Anolis sagrei: one gene and its partner. The protein of the gene in region 1 purifies or fractionates together with the protein of each later gene. This does not show direct contact. Links are inferred from orthologs where the notes say so. Each region holds a gene or a part of one and is shown in the gene's direction. Other genes may lie near its edges. The genes, in order: NEK7 and ANKS6.

Region 1 (9,123 bases):
CGCCTCCCCGCCCTCCGGATCTCGGTTGATGCTGCACAGAGAACCCGGGTGGACAAAGCTGGGTCAAGTTTACACCTCCAGCTTCGTCTAGCCAGGTCTCTGTGATGCACGCCAGATCTGCCCGTTCATCCAGGATTAAATCCTGGATGAAAGTTGTTTTACCATTGACAGATCTGGCGTTCAACAGCACCACTTTCAATCCTGAGGGACCGCCATCCTGGTTACACCTACTTACCGTATCAGGAGACCGATTTGGGATTACTAATGTTGTTCCACGTTCCCTAGGCCGAATTAAAGGTCTCCTTTTCCCGTATCACCCCTTCCCCACCACGACTTCTATGGGGGCTCCTCGGTTAACGGAAGCCTCTCCCTCCTCCATGATGCATTTGATGCTTATAATAATAAACCAAGGATCATTGCGGTTTGCATGCCATGTTACAGTTTCAGTTTGCCATAGCTTTGCCTTCCAAGTGGTCTTCGGTCCTGTTAGGCTGTATTCGAGTTCCCTCGTGCTATTCCATTTCTTCTTACCCACATATGCAATTAGCAACCAAATTAACAGATGCCAAGAAGTAGATGGTGGCATGAGTAGTAATTGTTAAGCACAGTCAGGGCAGGGTTAAGCTGTTGAAATACAGATGGAAACTTATTTCAGCACAACACAGTAGAACAACAAATAAATGCGATGGCTTAAATTAACCCAAGGTGTTAACTAAAGTGCGTCATGGAGGCCTGATTCAACACTAGCTGTATCAATCGAATTAAAGTGCTATAGTTGGTTAAGTGCACAAAGAAGTAGTTTAAAGTGCTAATGGCATAAAGTGCAAGATCACAACAATTAATAAAATACACGATGTAACCAACTGGTCATGGAATCAAGATTAGTTAGCAACCATCAGGAACGGTCAGCACAAATTAAGATGGTCAACATAGACTGCAATAATAGTCAATAAAAGCAGAGGTAATTGGCACCGTCAAGAATGATTAGCACACTCAAAAATAGATAGCAAGGTTAAGAAAGATTAAGGTGCTAAAGCTCATATAAAATAATAGTCCACTGATGTAATAGGTTAAGGTGCTGATAGTATAAATGCTAGTAACCCACAAAATTGGAGACAATGAGATGCCGGAAGATGGCAATAATTAAACCAAAACAAGGATGGCCCACACGGTTTTCCGGATTTGGTGGGTTGCCCGGCGAGATGATAAAAACTCGAGCAATGGCGGCGGATTACTCCCAAAGGGATGGAGGAGCTGGGGCGCTGGGAAACGGCAGATCAGCGAACCGGCGCAATGAAGAACTCCCTCGAACGCCAGGCCGGACGTCCTTAATTGTTGGGCCGGAGCCGGAACGCCGGGCTGATGACCGAGCACCGGGTGGGTGACAGGAAGGGACGACCAAGTGTCCGGCAGAGCCGGGGCCAACGCGTCGGGCCACGGCAGGCAGCAAGCACACGGGAGACCGGCGCGCCAGAGATCGATGCGCCGGAGGCCCAACCAAGCGCCAAGTCGAACGGCAGCAACTGGGGCCGCGAAGGGTTGGCGGGGCAGGCGCGCCAAGGACCACAGCAACAGTTCCACAACGGAGGCCCTGCAGGACACCAGGCCAGAGGCACTAGCGGCCGATGGAATCGAGGCCAAACGCCGGCTGGGGTTATTGAAGGGTCGCGTCAATTGCCGCGGTAGCAGCACCGGCCGGGCAGGGGGCTACTCACCCTTCACAGCTCCCTGAGAAGGGGAAGGCTCCCACCGTGGCCTTAGCTACGATGATGGTGGTGGCAGTGTCAGCAGCAATGGCGGCAGCAGCTCTCACCCGGTTGCTTGTCCCCTCCCGGGGGCAGCTCTGCCGCGGCCCAATCGGATGGCAGAGTGGCGGTAAAGGCCCAGCTGGAACACGCGGCGCTCGCGGCGGCGGCCTCAGAGGCGGCTTTGGCAACAGCACAGGCCCTGACACGTCCCTCCTCAGCACTCTGAGGAGGGGATGGACTCTGGCAGCAATTTCGCTGCGGCAAGGGCGACCGCAGCAGCGGCAACAACAGCGGTCTGTCTGTCTATCTCCTCTCGGTCTCCAGCACTGAGTTCTCAAGAAGTAGCTACACAAATAGATGTCAAAGGAGCAACTTCGTAGGAGTAGCTCCAAGCACTGAGTTCTCCAGAAGCAGCTACACCAATAGATATCGAAGGAGCAACTTCGCAGGAGTAGCTCCAAGCACTGAGTTCTCAAGTTCTCAAGAAGCAGGCAGGATGATAGTAAGGTGCAGCTGGGAGGCAGAGGTTTTAAAGCCTCCTTTCCTGGCTTGCTTATCTCACCAGTGTGGAGGCGAGGCAGCCAGGACGCCGACCCTCTCCTGTTCTTGCAGGCCGAATGATATATATATGTATTGTGGATCGTGTTTTTATGCTTTTAAACTGTATACTGTTGTTTGTTATAAGTTATTGTAAACCGCGTTGAGTCGCCGGCTAGGCTGAGAAACGGCGGTATACAAGTATAGCAAATAAATAAATAAAAAGAAGAAAGTACAAAAGCTGGGTTGCAGCTAAACATCAAAAAAACCAAGATCATGGCAACAAGACTGATTGACAACTGGAAAATAGAAGGAGAAAATGTGGAGGCTGTGACAGACTTTGTATTTCTAGATGCAAAGATTACTGCAGATGCAGACTGTGCCCAGGAAATCAGAAGATGCTTACTTCTTGGGAGGAGAGCAATGTCCAGTCTCGATAAAATAGTAAAGAGTAGAGACATCACACTGGCAACAAAGATCCGCCTAGTCAAAGCCATGGTATTCCCTGTAGTAACCTATGGATGTGAGAGCTGGACCTTAGGGAAGGCTGAGCGAAGGAAGATAGATGCTTTTGAACTGTGGTGCTGGAGGAAAGTTCTGAGAGTGCCTTGGACTGCGAGAAGATCCAACCAGTCCATACTTCAGGAAATAAAGCCCGACTGCTCATTGGAGGGAAGGATACTAGAGACAAAGTTGAAGTACTTTGGCCACATCATGAGGAGACAGGAAAGCCTAGAGAAGACAATTATGCTGGGGAAAGTGGAAGGAAAAAGGAAGAGGTGCCGACCAAGGGCAAGATGGATGGATGGCATCCTTGAAGTGACTGGACTGACCTTGAATGAGCTGGGGGTGGTGACGGTCGACAGGGAGCTCTGGCATGGGCTGGTTCGTGAGGTCACGAAGAGTCGGAGACGACTGAACGAATGAACAACAATTGTACATTAAGCACATACAACTACAGTAGGATCATCTCAACTTGAATCCCATTCTTTCCTGGATCAAGTTTTTTGCATTGTTTATTACAGGTAAATTACTGCAACCCAACTCTGAAAAGCTGTATTTTTCCAGTCCTCTGTTGTCATTTCCCCAATGTCAATTCTACAAAAAGTTATGATCTCCAAAAGGTTATGAATGCCATTTTCCAAAATGGCAGTTGTTACTTACTTAGGCGATCCCTCGTTGGACGAGTAAGATGGTCTTCCATCATGGGTTTCCTTGTGGGTCCGTATGTGGCTGTGGAGCCCTATTCTTGCTCTGCATCTTCTTCCGCAGTGTGGGCATTGGTTTCCAGGTGGAAGGCGGTCCCGTTTGGGTTTGGCTTGACGCACCTTCCTCCTGGCACGTTTCTCTCTTTCACCCTCCACTCGTGCCTCCTCAAATTCTGCAGCACTGCTGGTCACAGCTGACCTCCAGCTGGAGCGCTCAAGGGCCAGGGCTTCCCAGTTCTCAGTGTCTATGCCAGAGTTTTTAAGGTTGGCTTTGAGCCCATCTTTAAATCTCTTTTCCTGTCCACCAACGTTCCGTTTTCCGTTCTTAAGTTCAGAGTAGAGCAACTGCTTTGGGAGACGGTGGTCAGGCATCCGAACAACGTGGCCGGCCCAGCGGAGTTGATGTTGGAGGACCATCGCTTCAATGCTGGTGGTCTTTGCTTCTTCCAGCACACTGACGTTTGTCCGCTTGTCTTCCCAGGAGATTTGCAGGATTTTCCGGAGGCAGCGCTGATGGAATCGTTCCAGGAGCTGTCTACTGTCTGTAGACAGTCCACGTTTCACAGGCATATAGCAGGGTTGGGAGGACAATAGCTTTATAGACAAGCACCTTGGTATCCCTACGGATGTCCCGGTCCTCAAACACTCTCTGCTTCATTCGGGAAAATGCTGCACTTGCAGAGCTCAGGCGGTGTTGTATTTCGGCGTCGATGTTGACTTTGGTGGAGAGGTGGCTGCCAAGGTAGCGGAAATGGTCAGCATTTTCTAATGTTACACCATTAAGCTATTTATTTATTTGTCGTGTCAGAGCAACCAGTCCATTATATATTACATTTCTAACAGAACAAAGCAAACAGACAGAAAAATACACATCTTGTGAGTTTGGTAGTTGGTTAAATGTCCTTTGACCAGTATCTGGCCATTAAGCTGTATCTCTGGCATTGGAGAGGGGATGGCTGGTGACTGCTGGATCAGCACTTTGGTTTTTTCGATGTTCAGTGACAGGCCAAGCTTCGTGTATGCTTCTGCAAAGGTGTTGAGAGTGGCTTGTAGATCTTCTTCTGTATGCGCACAGACGACATTGTCATCAGCATACTGGAGTTCTATAACAGCAGTTGTATAGTTAAGTTGTATCAAGTCTGTGGCCTTTTGGGCCACAAGGTGCTCCAAAAAGGATCCCAAGACCACTTTGACTAGGCCTCCTCAACCTGCAGCCCTTCAGCTGCTTGGACCTCCAATTCCCAGAAGCCTTTGCCAGCTTCCTCAATGGACAAGAATTGTGGGAAATGGAGGCCCAAACAGGCGCAGGGCCACAAGTGGAGGAGGAGGCCTAGTGAAAGAGCTGCCAAACTCCAGGCTGAGAGTCCCTCCCCGCCGGTCACGTGAGCGCGCTCTATGACGTAGTGCGGGGGTGACATTGGCGTCCTACTGGCCTCAACTTTTGTGATGTTTGAAAAGCGCTGCTTGCTGGCCTTTCTTTTTTTGGCGGGAAAAGGGGAAAATGGCCTGTAGAGAGATGAAGCGGCGGGGCGGACTCTTTCCTCTCTCTCCCTCCTCCTCCTCCTCCTTCTCGCCCCAACCGTACCGCACTTTGCAGGAAGTCCCGGCACTTCCTGCGAAGAGGGCCGGCTGAGGAGGAGGAGGAAGGAGAGAGGAGAGGAGAAGAGCGGAGGCGCGTCGGGCCTCCTCACGAGTAAGTAGGCGTCCCAAACGGGAATGGAGGCCTCCTTTCAAGTAGCTTCGTTGCTCTTCGTCACTTCAGCGCTTTCGAAGGGAAAACTATATTGGGAGAGAGTTGGCCAGGCCGTGGCTGAAGGCGGTGTGGCCAGCGATAGCTGACCTCATCCCCGAATAGAGCCAGAGCGCCTCCTCGGCCCAAAGCGCCTCCTCTGAGGGGAAACAAACAGCCCTCGCCGCCTGCCATTTCCACGCCCCTTTCTCCTCGGCCCAGGCGTCTGTTTACCTTCAGAGCGAGCGCCTTGTTTGTCAGTTATGCCCAGGGATCTTGTGGCACCTTTGAGGCTTCCCTAGGGTGTCTTTGCACAGGGGAATGGCTGCAGTTTGACACCACTTTCACTGTGGCCCCTTCTACACTACCATATACAATCCAGATTCTCTGCTTTGAACTAGATCAGGGCTCCTCAAACTTTAAACAGAGGTCACAGTTCCTCAAACTGTTGAAAGGCCAGATTATAATTGGAAAACAACATGAATGAATTCCTATGTATACTGCACATATCTTATTTGAGTGCAAAAAACACTTTAAAACAATAATTAAAATGAAGAACAATTTTAACAAATTAAAATAGCCTGTGCTATTCCATGGTATTCCCTGTAGTAACCTACGGATGTGAGAGCTGGACCTTAGGGAAGGCTGAGCGAAGGAAGATCGATGCTTTTGAGCTGTGGTGTTGGAGGAAAGTTCTGAGAGTGCCTTGGACTGCGAGAAGATCCAACCAGTCCATCCTCCAGGGAAAAAAGCCCGGCTGCTCATTGGAGGGAAAGATACTACAGACAAAGTTGAAGTACTTTGGCCACATCATGAGGAGACAGCAAAGCCTAGAGAAGACAATTATGCTGGGGAAAGTGGAAGGCAAAAGGAAGAGGGGCCAACCAAGGGCAAGATGGATGGATGGCATCCTTGAAGTGACTGCACTGACCTTGAAGGGGTTGGGGGTGGTGATGGCCAACAGGGAGCTCTGGCGTGGGCTGGTCCATGAGGTCACGAAGAGTCGGAGACGACTGAACGAATGAACAACAACAACAGAGAGAGGTCAACCTTCCTGTTTAAAGAGCTCCATTGGCTGCCGTTTACCTTCCGATCCCAATTCAAGGTGCAGGTGCTTACATACAAAGCCCTAAACGGTTTGGGACCTGCCTACCTGCGTGACCGCATCTCCGTTTATGAACCCACGCGTTCCCTTCGTTCATCCGGAGAGGCCCTGCTCGCGATCCTGCCTGTGTTGCAGGCACGTTTGGTGGGGACGAGGGACAGGGCCTTTTCTGTGGTTGCCCCCGACTTTGGAACACCCTCCCCAAAGAAATCAGACTAGCGCCCACATTGGCAGTCTTTAGGAAGAGCTTGAAGACCTGGCTTTTCCAATGTGCCTTTCTGGAATAGGAAAACTCCAGCATTATGTCCCAGAAGCACTTGCCCTGAAATCCAACATACCACCTGTCACACCCAGCACTTTTTAATCTGTACCCATTACGTGGCCCGGCCCTAGTTTTAATTGTGTTATGGTGTAATGTTTTGTTGTTCTATTGTTATTGCTTTATGTTTTTGATTTTGCTTTGAGTTGTATTTGTTATGCTGTTGTTTTGTTGAGGGCTTGGCCTTTGTAAACCGCATCAGTCCTTTGGGAGATGCTAAAGGTAAAGGTAAAGGTAGTCCCCTGACATTAAGTCCAGTCATGTCTGACTTTGGGGTGTGGTGCTCATCTCCATTTCTAAGCCGAAGAGCCAGCGTTGTCCGTAGACACCTCCAAGGTCATGTGGCCGGCATGACTGCATGGAGCGCCGTTACCTTCCCGCCGGAGTGGTACCTATTGATCTACTCACATTTGCATGTTTTCGAACTGCTAGGTTGGCAGAAGCTAGGGCTGACAGCGGAAGCTCACGCCGCTCCCCGGAATCGAACCTGCGACCTTTCTATCAACAAGCTCAGCAGCTCAGTGCTTTAACCCACTGCACCACCGGGGGCTCCTTGGGAGATGCTAGCGGGGTACAAATAAAGTTAATAATAACAATATTGTATATACATATAATATTTATAATATAATAATAATAATAAAAAACCTTTATTTATACCCCTCTAACATCTCCTGAAGGGCTCGGTGCGGCTTACAAGAGGCCAAGGCCCAATACATCAGTAAAACAACAGCATAACAAATACAACAATAAATAAACTCATAAAACAAAGCAATAAACATTAAAACAATAGCAATAACCATTAGACAATAACACCACAACACATTTAAAAACTAAGGCCGGGCCAAATGTAATGATTAAAGAATTTAAAATGCTGGACATGACCAGGTGAAATGGATAGGTTTTTGGAGATTAGGTGCGGTATACACCTAATATTTTGGGTTATATGGCTGTGTGGGTTATATGGCTGTGTGGAAGGGTCCAACAAGGGGCCTCATATAATCCTGCTCAAAGCATATGACCTGGGATCAGATCCTGGGATATCAGGCAGTGAAGATCCAGCCTTTAACTGCCAAAGGTCCATCTTGTTCGTTCTGGTAACAGACATAAACATCCTATGAAGCCACAAATCCCTTATTTGTATTGTCATGAGTCATTGCAGTTTATGCAGTGCCAAACTGCTTTCATTCTGCAGTATGGCTTCAGCTTTGGGGTGCATTCTCAACTGGAGAATCAATGCAGTTTGACCCCACTTGCCATGTCTCAATGCTGCAGAATTCTGGGATTTGTGGTTTGGTGAGGCACCAGGATTCTTTAACAAACAAGGCTAAAGATCTTGAAAAACCATGACTCCGGGGGTTCTACAGTTTTGAGCGGTGCCAGTTAAATGGCAATAATTCTGCAGTATAGATAGCCTATTAGGTCTATTTCCTCAGAAGCATCTGCTTTTGCACTGCAACTTCTTTCTCCCAGTGGCTGTAGTCTCAAAGGTGCAACAAGGTCCCTTTGGATACTGACATCTCTGACTCACTTGGCTATGTGTTTGAAACTTGTTTATAAATTAGTCACCGGATGAAAATAAATGGTAAATTGTGATCACTTTCAAAACAAGCAGGCAGATTTTTACAAGTCAACTTTTTGATGTGCTTTGTCGCATACTGTTCCTACCACAGAATGTGGTAGGAATTAACAATCCCCTTTAATAGAGAACAGGTGGGCAATTTGTAGTTTTCCAGGTGCTGTTGGTTGTAATTCCCATCAGCCTTGGCTAATAATAAAGGATTATGGGAGCTGCTGGCAAACAGTATGTAGAAGGCCACAAGATGGCTATCTCTGATGCGGAGCATATAAATTTGATGAAACTATAGAATTAAACAGCAACAGTAAGCATCAAACTGCTGTGTATCAGAAATAGAGACCCCTATGTTGTAAAGAGAGATGTAATTACAGAGAACCATACTTGGATGTTCAAGCAAGAGAGCAAGATGGTGCTGCATAACTATCTGTGTGACTTAACAGTTGTTCTGATCTCTGGGATCTGTTCCCTTTTGACATTCCTTCCTCCAGAAAACTTTGTACTACACACTACACTTGATCTTAGCCAAAAGGCCGAGACTACCATGCAGCACTTTTCAGTTGCAGAAAACTATGGACTTTGATGTACTGTGTGTGTGCGTGCACACGTGTGCATGGGGTCTTTGGGGTCTCACCCAGTCTTGTCCAGCACTACATGGACTACTTAACAAAATACTTTATTTGATAGGATAGACAAAGTGTGACCCTTCAGATTGCAGTTCCCATTGTTCCTCACCAATTATTATGCTGGCTAGATTTGATGGGAGAAACTGTCCAAAAAAAGCATGGGGTATAAAACAGCTCTGAAGTAGTCCACAAGCTGATGACTGGGAAGTTGAACAAGAATCTTCCAGAGTATCCATCTGTCATCATTGGGGGGGGGGGGGGGGGGGAGGGTGGCAGGT
Region 2 (9,924 bases), about 6.1 Mb from region 1:
GCTGAGGTAAATGTTGATCTGGTGGCGGGCCACGCTCTCCTCCTGCCGCCGCTGCTCCTCCTCGCTCAGCTCCAGCCGCGCCGCCCGGCCCAGCTCGCCCAGCTCCGTCTCCTGGCCCAGCGGCGGCTTCTCGTACACGGGCCGGCGGAGGAGACGATGAGACAACACCGAAGAAGAAGAAGAGGGCGCCGCCACCGCCGCGCCACCACCCCCTCCTCCGCCTGGGCCCGGCTCCGAGTCGGGAGGGCCCCGTTGCCACAGCAACAGCAAGCCCAGCGCCCCCAGCCCCGCCGCCAAGGCCGCGGCCACTGCTAGCGCGCGCTCTCCCCCGCGAGGGGCACGCACGCGCCGGCCCCGTCGCATCCCCAGCGCCTGCGCCCCTCAGGCAAGGCCCGCGAGGCCAGGAACGGGAGGGGGCGGGGCCGAAGGGGCGGAGCAAGAAAGGAAGGAAGGTGCTCGCCCCGCCCCCCGGCCTGCCTTCTGCGCGCGATCGCTGCGCGCGCGCCTCGCCTGCTTCAGAACTTCCGCCAGGAACCTAGTGGGAGCAGAGCGCGTGCCCCCCTCCTGAGAGGAGAGCGCGTGCCTCGCTGCCTGTAAAGCCTGCTTGCTCTCCCCTCTGGGATCCTTTTGCGGATATCAACGTAGTTGAAAGATTGCTCTCCCCTGCTTGCATTTCCCTCTTTTAAATCAGGTTCTGATGGGGGAATACAGTTGCACTGCTAATTATCACTACCTAACACGATTTTTGTTCCTGGCTTTTAGTTTTTGCAGTTTAATAAACTTTTTCCATGTTTTGATGATAGAATCAATTAAGAAATTACATTTATAACCAAGGAACAAAAATCACATTACATAGAGAGGGCCCTTCCAGACAGGCGCTATATTCCAAGATCTGATCCCAGGTTTTATATGAGTCCGTACTGCCAGATAATCTAAGATAAACAGAAAACGTGGCATGAGATCCTGGAATAAAGGGCGTGTCTGGAAGGGCTCATAGTGTAATGGATTGGACACCTATTAGATAGGGAAGAATTCCAGTAATCTTTATATATAAAATCTATAAATCCCAGCAACTACAACTCCCAAATGACAAAATCATTTTTTTAGTGATTGTCACTCACTGGGTTGTTAGGTGTATTCTGTCCAAATTTGGTGTCAATTTGTCCAGTGGTTTTTGAGTTATGTTAATCCCACAAACGAACATTACATTTCTAGGTTCTTGTGGGTTTTTTTCGGGCTATAGCGCCATGTTCTAGAGGCATTTCTCCTGACGTTTCGCCTGCATCTATGGCAAGCATCCTCAGAGGTACCTCTGAGGATGCTTGCCATAAATGCAGGCGAAACGTCAGGAGAAATGCCTCTAGAACATGGCCCTATAGCCCGAAAAAAACCCCACAAGAACCTAGTGATTCCAGCCATGAAAGCCTTCGACAATACATTACATTTCTATTTATATATACTACTAGCCATCCCTTGCCACGCGTTGCTGTGGTCCAGTTTCGTGAGCTGGAAAATAAAGTAATGGGAAAGTGTGGTTTCTAATACATGTAATGTCTTGATGTTTGTGAGTTAAAAGTATTTCTTGTTGTTTCTTTGTCAGTGTTGATGTGGAGATTGTCTGGTTTGCCTACTCTGGAACATGCAACATATAATTGTTCTTCTTTAGGGCTCCCTTTCAAATCTATGATACTATATCTGTTTGTGTGTCAATCATATATATCTATCTATCAGGAGCCCCCGGTGGTGCAGTGGGTTAAAGCCCTGTGCTGGCAGGACTGAAGACCGACAGGTCGCAGGTTCGAATCCGGGGAGAGGTGGATAAGCTCCCTCTATCAGCTCCAGCTCCTCATGCGGGGACATGAGAGAAGCCTCCGACAAGGATGATAAATCATCCGGGCGTCCCCTGGGCAACGTCCTTGCAGACGGCCAATTCTTTCCTGACACAACCTACCTACCTATCTACCTACCTATCTATGGCTGGATGGCTCTTTGTCAGGAGGGCTTTGATTGCGTTTTCTTGCCCTGGTGAAGGGAGTTGGACTGGATGGCCGTAAATATTTTCTGTTGGTCATGGGGGTTCTGTGTGGGAAGTTTGCCACAATTCAGTCGTTGGTGAAGTTCAGAATGCCCTTTGATTGTAGGTAAACTATAATCCCAGTAACTACAACTCCCAAATGTCAAGGTCTATTTTCCCCAAACTCCATCTGTGTTCATATTTGGGCATATGGAGTATTCGTGCCAAGTTTGGTTCAGATCCATCATTGTTTGAGTCCAAACTGTTCTCTGGATGTAGGTGAACTACAACTCCCAAACTCAAGGTCAATGCCCACCAAACCTTTCTAGTGTTTTCTGTTGGTCATGGGAGTCCTGTGTGTCAATTCCATCATTGGTGGAGTTCAGAATGCTCTTTGATTATAAGTAAATTATAAATCCCAGCAACTACACCTCCCAAATGACAAAATATTTTTGAGTGATAGTCATTCCTTGGGTTAGTAGGTGTCTTGTGGCCAAATTTGGTGTCAATTTGTCCAGTGGTGTTTGAGTTATATTAATCCCACAAACGAATATTACATTTTTATTGATATAGATTACTAGCTGTCCCCTGCCACGCATTGCTGTGGCCCAGTCTGGTGATCTGGAAAATGAAGTAATGAGAAAGTGTTGGTTTGTAATATTTGTAATTTCTTTATGCTTGTGGGTAAATAGTATTTCTTGCTGTTTCTTTGTCAGTGTGGATGTGGAGATTATCTGGTTTGCCTACTCTTGAACATGCAACATATAATTGTCCTTCTTTAGGGCTCCCTTTCAAATCTATGATACTATATCTGTGTGTGTGTCAATCATATATATCTATCTATATCTATGGCTGGATGGCTCTTTGTCAGGAGGGCTTTGATTACGTTTTCTTGCCCTGGTGAAAGGAGTTGGACTGGATGGCCTTAAGTATTTTCTGTTGGTCAAGCGGGTTCTGTGTGGGAAGTTTGCCACAATTCAGTCATTGATGAGGTTCAGAATGCTCTTTGATTGTAGGTAAACTATAATCCCAGTAACTACAACTCCCAAATGTCAAGGTCTATTTTCCCCAAACTCCATCTGTGTTCATATTTGGGCATATGGAATATTCATGCCAAGTTTGGTCCAGATCCATCACTGATTGAATCCATGGTAGTACCTGGATGTAGGGGAACTACAACTCCCAAACTCAAGGTCAATGCCCACCAAACCTTTCTAGTGTTTTCTGTTTGTCATGGGAGTCCTGTATGCCAATTCCATCATTGGTGGAGTTGAGAATGTTCTTTGAGTGTAAGTAAATCATAAATCCCAGCAACTACAACTCCCAAATGACAAAATATTTTTAGTGATGGTAATTCCTTGGGTTAGTAGGTGTCTTGTGGCCAAATTTAGCCACAATTTGTCCAGTGGTTTTTGAGTTATGTTAATCCTACAAACGAACATTACATTTGTATTTATATAGATGATGTGCAATGGAACTAAAAATTAGTGTTGGCAAAACAGATGGTGTCACAACAGCTGAGATGTATTGAAAAGTCATGCCAAATTCTTTGAGTTGCTAATGTGTACCTAACAATTCTCACAACCTTTATTTTCTTTTACTGAACCAATGTCTTAGTACATTTTTACAGACAGGCCAATTAACATTGCTTCACGCTGTAACGGCTGCTTATCCTTCGAGCAAAAAATTAAAATAAGTACATTTTTAGGCTTGGTTTAACATTAAACATATTCAATCTGATCTCTCCCTCAGGGCCTTGAACATTTCCCAATGCAAACAGCTCTATGCAAATCATCTTATTTAAAAACAATTCAAGCCAACATTTCCCAGAGAACCCATATCACAAATGATCAGGCACCTTGGCTATCTTTAGAATGAATGCAGCTTGCCACCACTTTTAAGTGCCATCATGGCTCAATGCTATGGCATCCTGGCCTCCCTTTTTCCATGAAAGTGCTTAAATGCAGGGAAATTGGAGGCAGGGACAGCCCTGGAGGGGTTGAGATGTCTGGCAGGGAAACAAGGAGACAACTGCAAGAAGAGCTGCTCCTGGTGACTCTGGTAGCAATTAAGTCAAACATGACCTCCCCCCCCCCCCCAGGTGGGTACAGCTAGTAGGGCATTAAAACCTTGATTAAATGATACACACTATCCAACATGGGAAGGGTCCATGTTGTTGTTGTTAGTGTCTTGGCAAATTGACCAAGGCTCAACCCTTATTATCCAGTCTGGTGTCCTTGTCCTTAGCAAAACTATAAGTTACTATCTTTTATTTATGATGGTTGTGGGAGTGATCCAGCATTTCTGTGTTCTTGAATAATATGCTGTGTCCGGGTTGGTTCATCAGGTGCTCTGCTCCAACAACCACCATGTCAGACTATTTATTTATTTATTTATTTATTTATTTATTTTACTTTGCTTGTATACCGCAATTTCTCAGCCTTGTAGGCGACTCAACACGGTTTACAACAAGAGCAAAAGTCAATCCAACAGCATACAAAATTTAAAAACCATTAACAGCATAATATACAAAATGACACATCAATAACAACACATTAACGTCTCGTAACTAGAATCGTGATCCAATTCGTCTTCCATAATTCTGTTTCCTATATTCATCGTGTACATTGCATTGTTTAACCGAACGCCTGTTCGAACAGCCAGGTTTTTAGGTTTCTTCGAAACACCATTAACGAAGGGGCTGATCTAATGTCCATGGGAAGGGCGTTCCACAGCCGAGGGGCCACCACAGAAAAGGCCCTGTCCCTCGTCCCCGCCAGCCGTGCCTGTGATGCAGGCGGGATCGAGAGCAGGGTCTCCCCAGAAGATCTTAGAGTCCTGGTGGGTTCATAAGCAGAGATACGTTCGGATAGGTAGCTTGGGCCAGAACCGTTTAGGGCTTTAAAGGCCAACGCCAGCACTTTGAATTGAGCCCAGTAGCAAATCGGCAGCCAGTGAGCTGGTGCAGCAAAGGAGTTGTATGCTCCCTGCGCTCCGCTCCTGTTAGTATCATGGCTGCCGCACGTTGGACTAGTTGGAGCTTCCGAGCCGTCTTCAAAGGCAACCCCACATAGAAAGCGTTGCAGTAGTCTAAACGGGATGTAATCAGAGCGTGGACTACCGTGGCCAAGTCAGACTTCCCAAGGTAAGGACGCAGCTGGCGCACGAGCTTTAACTGTGCAAATGCTCCCCTGGTCACCGCCGAAACCTGGGGTTCCAGGCTCAGTGATGAGTCCAAGATCTACACAGAGAAGCCACTGAAATCCACAAGCATGTGGACAATTTCAACAGAAAGGAGGAGACCATGAAAATGAACAAAATCCGGCTACCAGTATTAAAAAACTCTAAAATTAGAACAGCACAACAACAGAGAGGAAACAAACAAGGACATCTAATCACCTCTCAACAAAAGACTGCTCCAGGCACTGCCAGGCAATCAAATGCTAATCAAGGTGGTCAGTTGAAACATTCACACCTAGCTCCAGCAGACAAGAGGCCTTTGTCTCACCCTGGTCATTCCACAGATATATAAACCCTTTCTCCTAGTTCCAACAGACCTCTACTACCTCTGAGGATGCTTGCCATAGATGCAGGGGAAACGTCAGGAGAGAATGCCTCTAGACCATGGCCATATAGCCCGAAAAAACCTACAACAAACCAGTGATTCCGGCCATGAAAGCCTTCGACAATACATTATAGAAGATTGCTCTATCCATCTACCTATCTTCCTCCATGCGTGTGTTTGTATGTCTGTATGTATCTCACTGTCCATCTGCCCATGCTTGGACCATAGAGGAGACCAGGCCGAGCTCCCACGACAAGCCCCTGCCCCCGCCCACCCCGCTCTAAGCCCCGCCCCCTTTCGAATCTTTCCCTCCCGGGAGGCGTGGCCACGACGGCGGCTGGCCGGATGGGGGAGAGCGGGGTGCCTGCGGGGGCCCAGCTGCTGCTCCGTGCCTGCGACCAGGGCGACTGCGAGAGCGCCCGCCGCCTCCTGCTTCCGGCTCCAGGCACCCCGGCGGAAGAGGCCGAAGCCGAGGCCGGCTCTGCGGCAGCGGCGGGGGCGCCTGCGGGGGGCTTGGTGCCCGTGGACTGCGCCGACGAGGCCGGCAACACGGGGCTGCAGTTCGCGGCGGCCGGCGGGCACGAGGAGCTGGTGGGCTTCCTCCTGCGGAGGGGCGCCTCGGTGCAGAGCCGCAACCACTGCGGGTGGAGCCCGCTCATGCAGGCCGCCAGGTCAGGACCGCGCTGGGAAGGAAGGAGGGAGGGAGGGGTACCATCTAACGGGGCGGCCCATCTCTCCTTGGCCCAGGAGCAGGCCCGCTTTCAAGGGAAGGCCTTTCAAGGAAGGCCCCACAGCGCCCTCTGCCGGCCGATGGGAAAAGCTCAGCCCTGGGTTAATGATTTGCTTCCCACTGAACCAAGTGGTGCGTGATCCCTGCCTGAAGAGCACTGAGACCCCTTCCACATCTGCATAAAATCCACATTGAACTGGATTATATGGCAGTGTGGACTCAGATAACCCAGTTCAAAGCAGATACTGTAGCTTATCTGCCTTGATATTCAGGGTTATATGGCAGTGTGGAGGGGCCTTGACTCTCTGCTATGAAAAGGAATGAAACCCACAGATCAGGCTTCCTCCAGCTACACAACTCCAGCTGTTTGGGACTCCAGCTCCCAGAATTCCTGACCATTGAACAATATGGCTAGAGCTCCTAGGAGTTGCTAATAATTTATCGTGTCAGGCAACCAAACAGTTGTATTATTATTATTATTATTAAACTTTATTTGTACCCCGCTAGCATCTCCCGAGGGATTCGATGCGGCTTACATCAGGCCGAAGCCCAGCACAACACAATACACAATACAATACATAGCAAAAAACACAGTTAAAGCAAAGAACAATAGCAATAACAATACAACAAGACGTTATTAAAAACTTAGTCGGCTGGCGTGGGGTACAGGGTTAAAAGTGCTGAAAAAAGTGTCGAAGGGATATAAGATTAAAGTATAAGTGCGGTGTGCGTTGAGAATGATCTTGACTCTACTAAAGTGCTTCTGGGCTTTGGTAGTGGGGATTCCTAATCTGAGAAGGCACGTTGGAATAGCCAGGTTTTCAGGTTTTTTCTAAAGACCGCCAAGGTGGGGGCCTGTCTGAGATCTTTCGGGAGGGCATTCCAGAGGCGGGGGGCCACCACAGAGAAAGCCCTGTCCCGCGTCCCCACCAAACGCGCCTGCGAGGCGGGTGGGATCACGAGCAGGGCCTCTCCTGATGACCGGAGCGAGTGTGTGGGTTCGTAGACTGTGATGCGGTCTCGTATTACATTTTTGACAGAACAAACAAACACAGGCTTTCATGGCTGGAATCACTAGGTTCTTGTGGGGTTTTTTCGGGCTATATGGCCATGTTCTAGAGCAGTGGTTCTCAACCTTCCTAATGCCGCGACACCTTAAGACAGTTCCTCATGTTGTGGTGACCCCCAACCAGCAAATTATTTTCATGACAAATTTGGCAAAATTACTCGATACACCCAAATTTGAACACTGGTGGTGTTGGGTGGGGGATTGATTTTGTCATTTGGGAGTTGTCGTTGCTGGGATTTATAGTTCACCTACAATCAAAGAGCATTCCAAACTCCACCAATGATGGAATTGAACCAAACTTGGCACACAGAATTCCCATTACCAACAGAAAATACTGGAAGGGTGGGATGGGCATTGACTTTGAGTTTTGGAGTTGTAGTTCACCTACATCCAGAGAGCACTGTGGATTCAAACAATAATGAATCTGGACCAAATTTGACATGAAAATCAATATGCCCAAATGTGAACTCTGCTGGAGTTTGGGGAAAAATAGACCTTGACATTGGGAGTTGTAGTTACTGGGATTTATAGTTCACCTACAATCAAAGAGCATCCTGAACCCCACCGAGGTTAGAATTGGGCCAAACTTCCAACACAGAACCCCCATGACTAACAGAAAATACTGTGTCTTTGGCGACCCCTCTGACACCCCCTTGCGACCCCTCCAGGGGTCCCAACCCCCAGGTTGAGAAATGCTGTTCTAGAGGCATTTTCTCCTAACGTTTCGCCTGCATCTATGGCAAGCATCTTCAGAGGTAGTGAGTTCACTACCTCTGAAGATGCTTGCCATAGATGCAGGAGAAACGTTAGGAGAAAATGCCTCTAGACCAGGGGTCCTCAAACTAAGGCCCGGGGGCCGGATGCGGCCCTCCAAGGTCATTTACCCGGCCCTCACTTAGGGTCAACCTAAGTCTGAAACGACTTGAAAGCACATAACAACAACAATCCTATCTCATCAGCCAAAAGCAGGCCCACATTTCCCATTGAAATACGAATAAATTTATATTTGTTAACATTGTCCCTCATTTTAATTATTGTATTGTTTTAAAGTGTTTTTTACACTACAAATAATGTATGTGCAGCGTGCATAGGAATTCATATTTTTTTTCAAATTATAATCTGCCCCCCTAGCAGTTTGAGGGACTGTGACCTGGCCCTCTGTTTAAAAAGTTTGAGGACCTCTGCTCTAGAACATGGCCATATAGCCCGAAAAAAACCCACAAGAACCAAACAAACAAACATACAAAAGACACAGTTTGCAAGCTTGGTAGTTGATTAAATGTCCTTTGACCAGTATCTGGCCACTTGGAATGCCTCTGGTGTTGCCGCAAAAAGGTCCTCCATTGTGCATGTAGAAGGGCTCATGTTGCATTGCATTGTCTGTGGTTTGCTTTTTTTCTCCACACTCGCATGTCGTGATTTCCACTTTGTAGCCCCATTTCTTAAGGTTGGCTCTGCATCTCATGGTGCCAGAGCGCAGTCTGTTCAGCACCTTCCAAGTCGCCCAGTCTTCTGTGTACCCAGGGGAGAGTCTCTCATCTGGTATCACACACGGATTGAGGTTCTGGGTTTGAGCCTGCCACTTTTGGACTCTCGCTTGCTGAGGTGTTCCAGCGAGTGTCTCTGTAGATCTAAGAAAACTATTTCTTGATTTAAGTCATTGACGTGCTGGCTGATACCCAAACAAGGGATGAGCTGGAGATGTCTCTGCATTGGTCCTTTCACTATTGGCTGCTACTTCCCAGCAGATGTCAGGTGGTGCAATACCGGCTAAGCAGTGTAATTTCTCCAGTGGTGTAGTGCGCAGACACCCCGTGATAATGCGGCATGTCTCATTAAGAGCCACATCCACTGTTTTAGTGTGGTGGGATGTGTTCCACACTGGGCATGCATACTGAGCAGCAGAGTAGCATAGCGCAAGGGCAGATGTCTTCACTGTGTCTGGTTGTGATCCCCAGGTTGTGCCAGTCAGCTTTCGTATGATATTGTTTCTAGCACCCACTTTTTGTTTGATGTTCAGGCAGTGCTTCCTGTAGGTCAGAGCACGGTCCACAGTGACTCCCAGGTATTTGGGTGCGTTGCAATTAAAAAGGTAGAGATTTTCCCCTGACATGAAGTCCAGTCATGTCTGACTCTGGGGCATGGTGCTCATCTCCATTTCTAAGCCAAAGAGCCGGCATTGTCCGTAGACACCTCCAAGGTCATGACTGCATGGAGCGTCATTACCTTCCTGCCGGAGCAGTACCTATTGATCTACTCACATTTGCATGTTTTCGAACTGCTAGGTTGGCAGAAGCTGGGGCTGACAGCGGAAGCTTACGCCGCTCCTCAGATTCAAACCTGTGACCTTTCGGTCAACAAGCTCAGCAGCTCAGCGCTTTGACCCACTGCGCCATCGGGGGCTCCTCTGCTAATAATAATAATATTGTGTGATCCAGTACAACAGCCAGCAGAGTGATCTTGTTTGCTATGGACTCATCTTGTTGTTTTTCAAATAATAATAGTAGTAAAGTTACAGAAAGTGAACACATCAATCTACTCTGGGA

The links.
Region 2: the proteins of NEK7 (region 1) and ANKS6 purify together in Homo sapiens (affinity purification with mass spectrometry; 3 studies listed by BioGRID and IntAct, with this or other methods). This does not show direct contact. The link is inferred for Anolis sagrei from reciprocal best matches to the Homo sapiens genes NEK7 and ANKS6.

What each region holds. Positions count from the first base shown.
Region 1 is NC_090024.1:110,501,289-110,510,411, forward strand, and holds the start of NEK7 (serine/threonine-protein kinase Nek7), read left to right. Parts: upstream 1-4,908; 5' UTR 4,909-5,186; intron 5,187-9,123. UniProt on the Homo sapiens protein: Protein kinase which plays an important role in mitotic cell cycle progression. Required for microtubule nucleation activity of the centrosome, robust mitotic spindle formation and cytokinesis.
Region 2 is NC_090024.1:104,440,382-104,450,305, reverse strand, and holds the start of ANKS6 (ankyrin repeat and SAM domain-containing protein 6), read left to right. Parts: upstream 1-5,915; 5' UTR 5,916-5,924; coding exon 5,925-6,250; intron 6,251-9,924. Other genes in the region: GALNT12 (polypeptide N-acetylgalactosaminyltransferase 12), read right to left, coding at 1-363.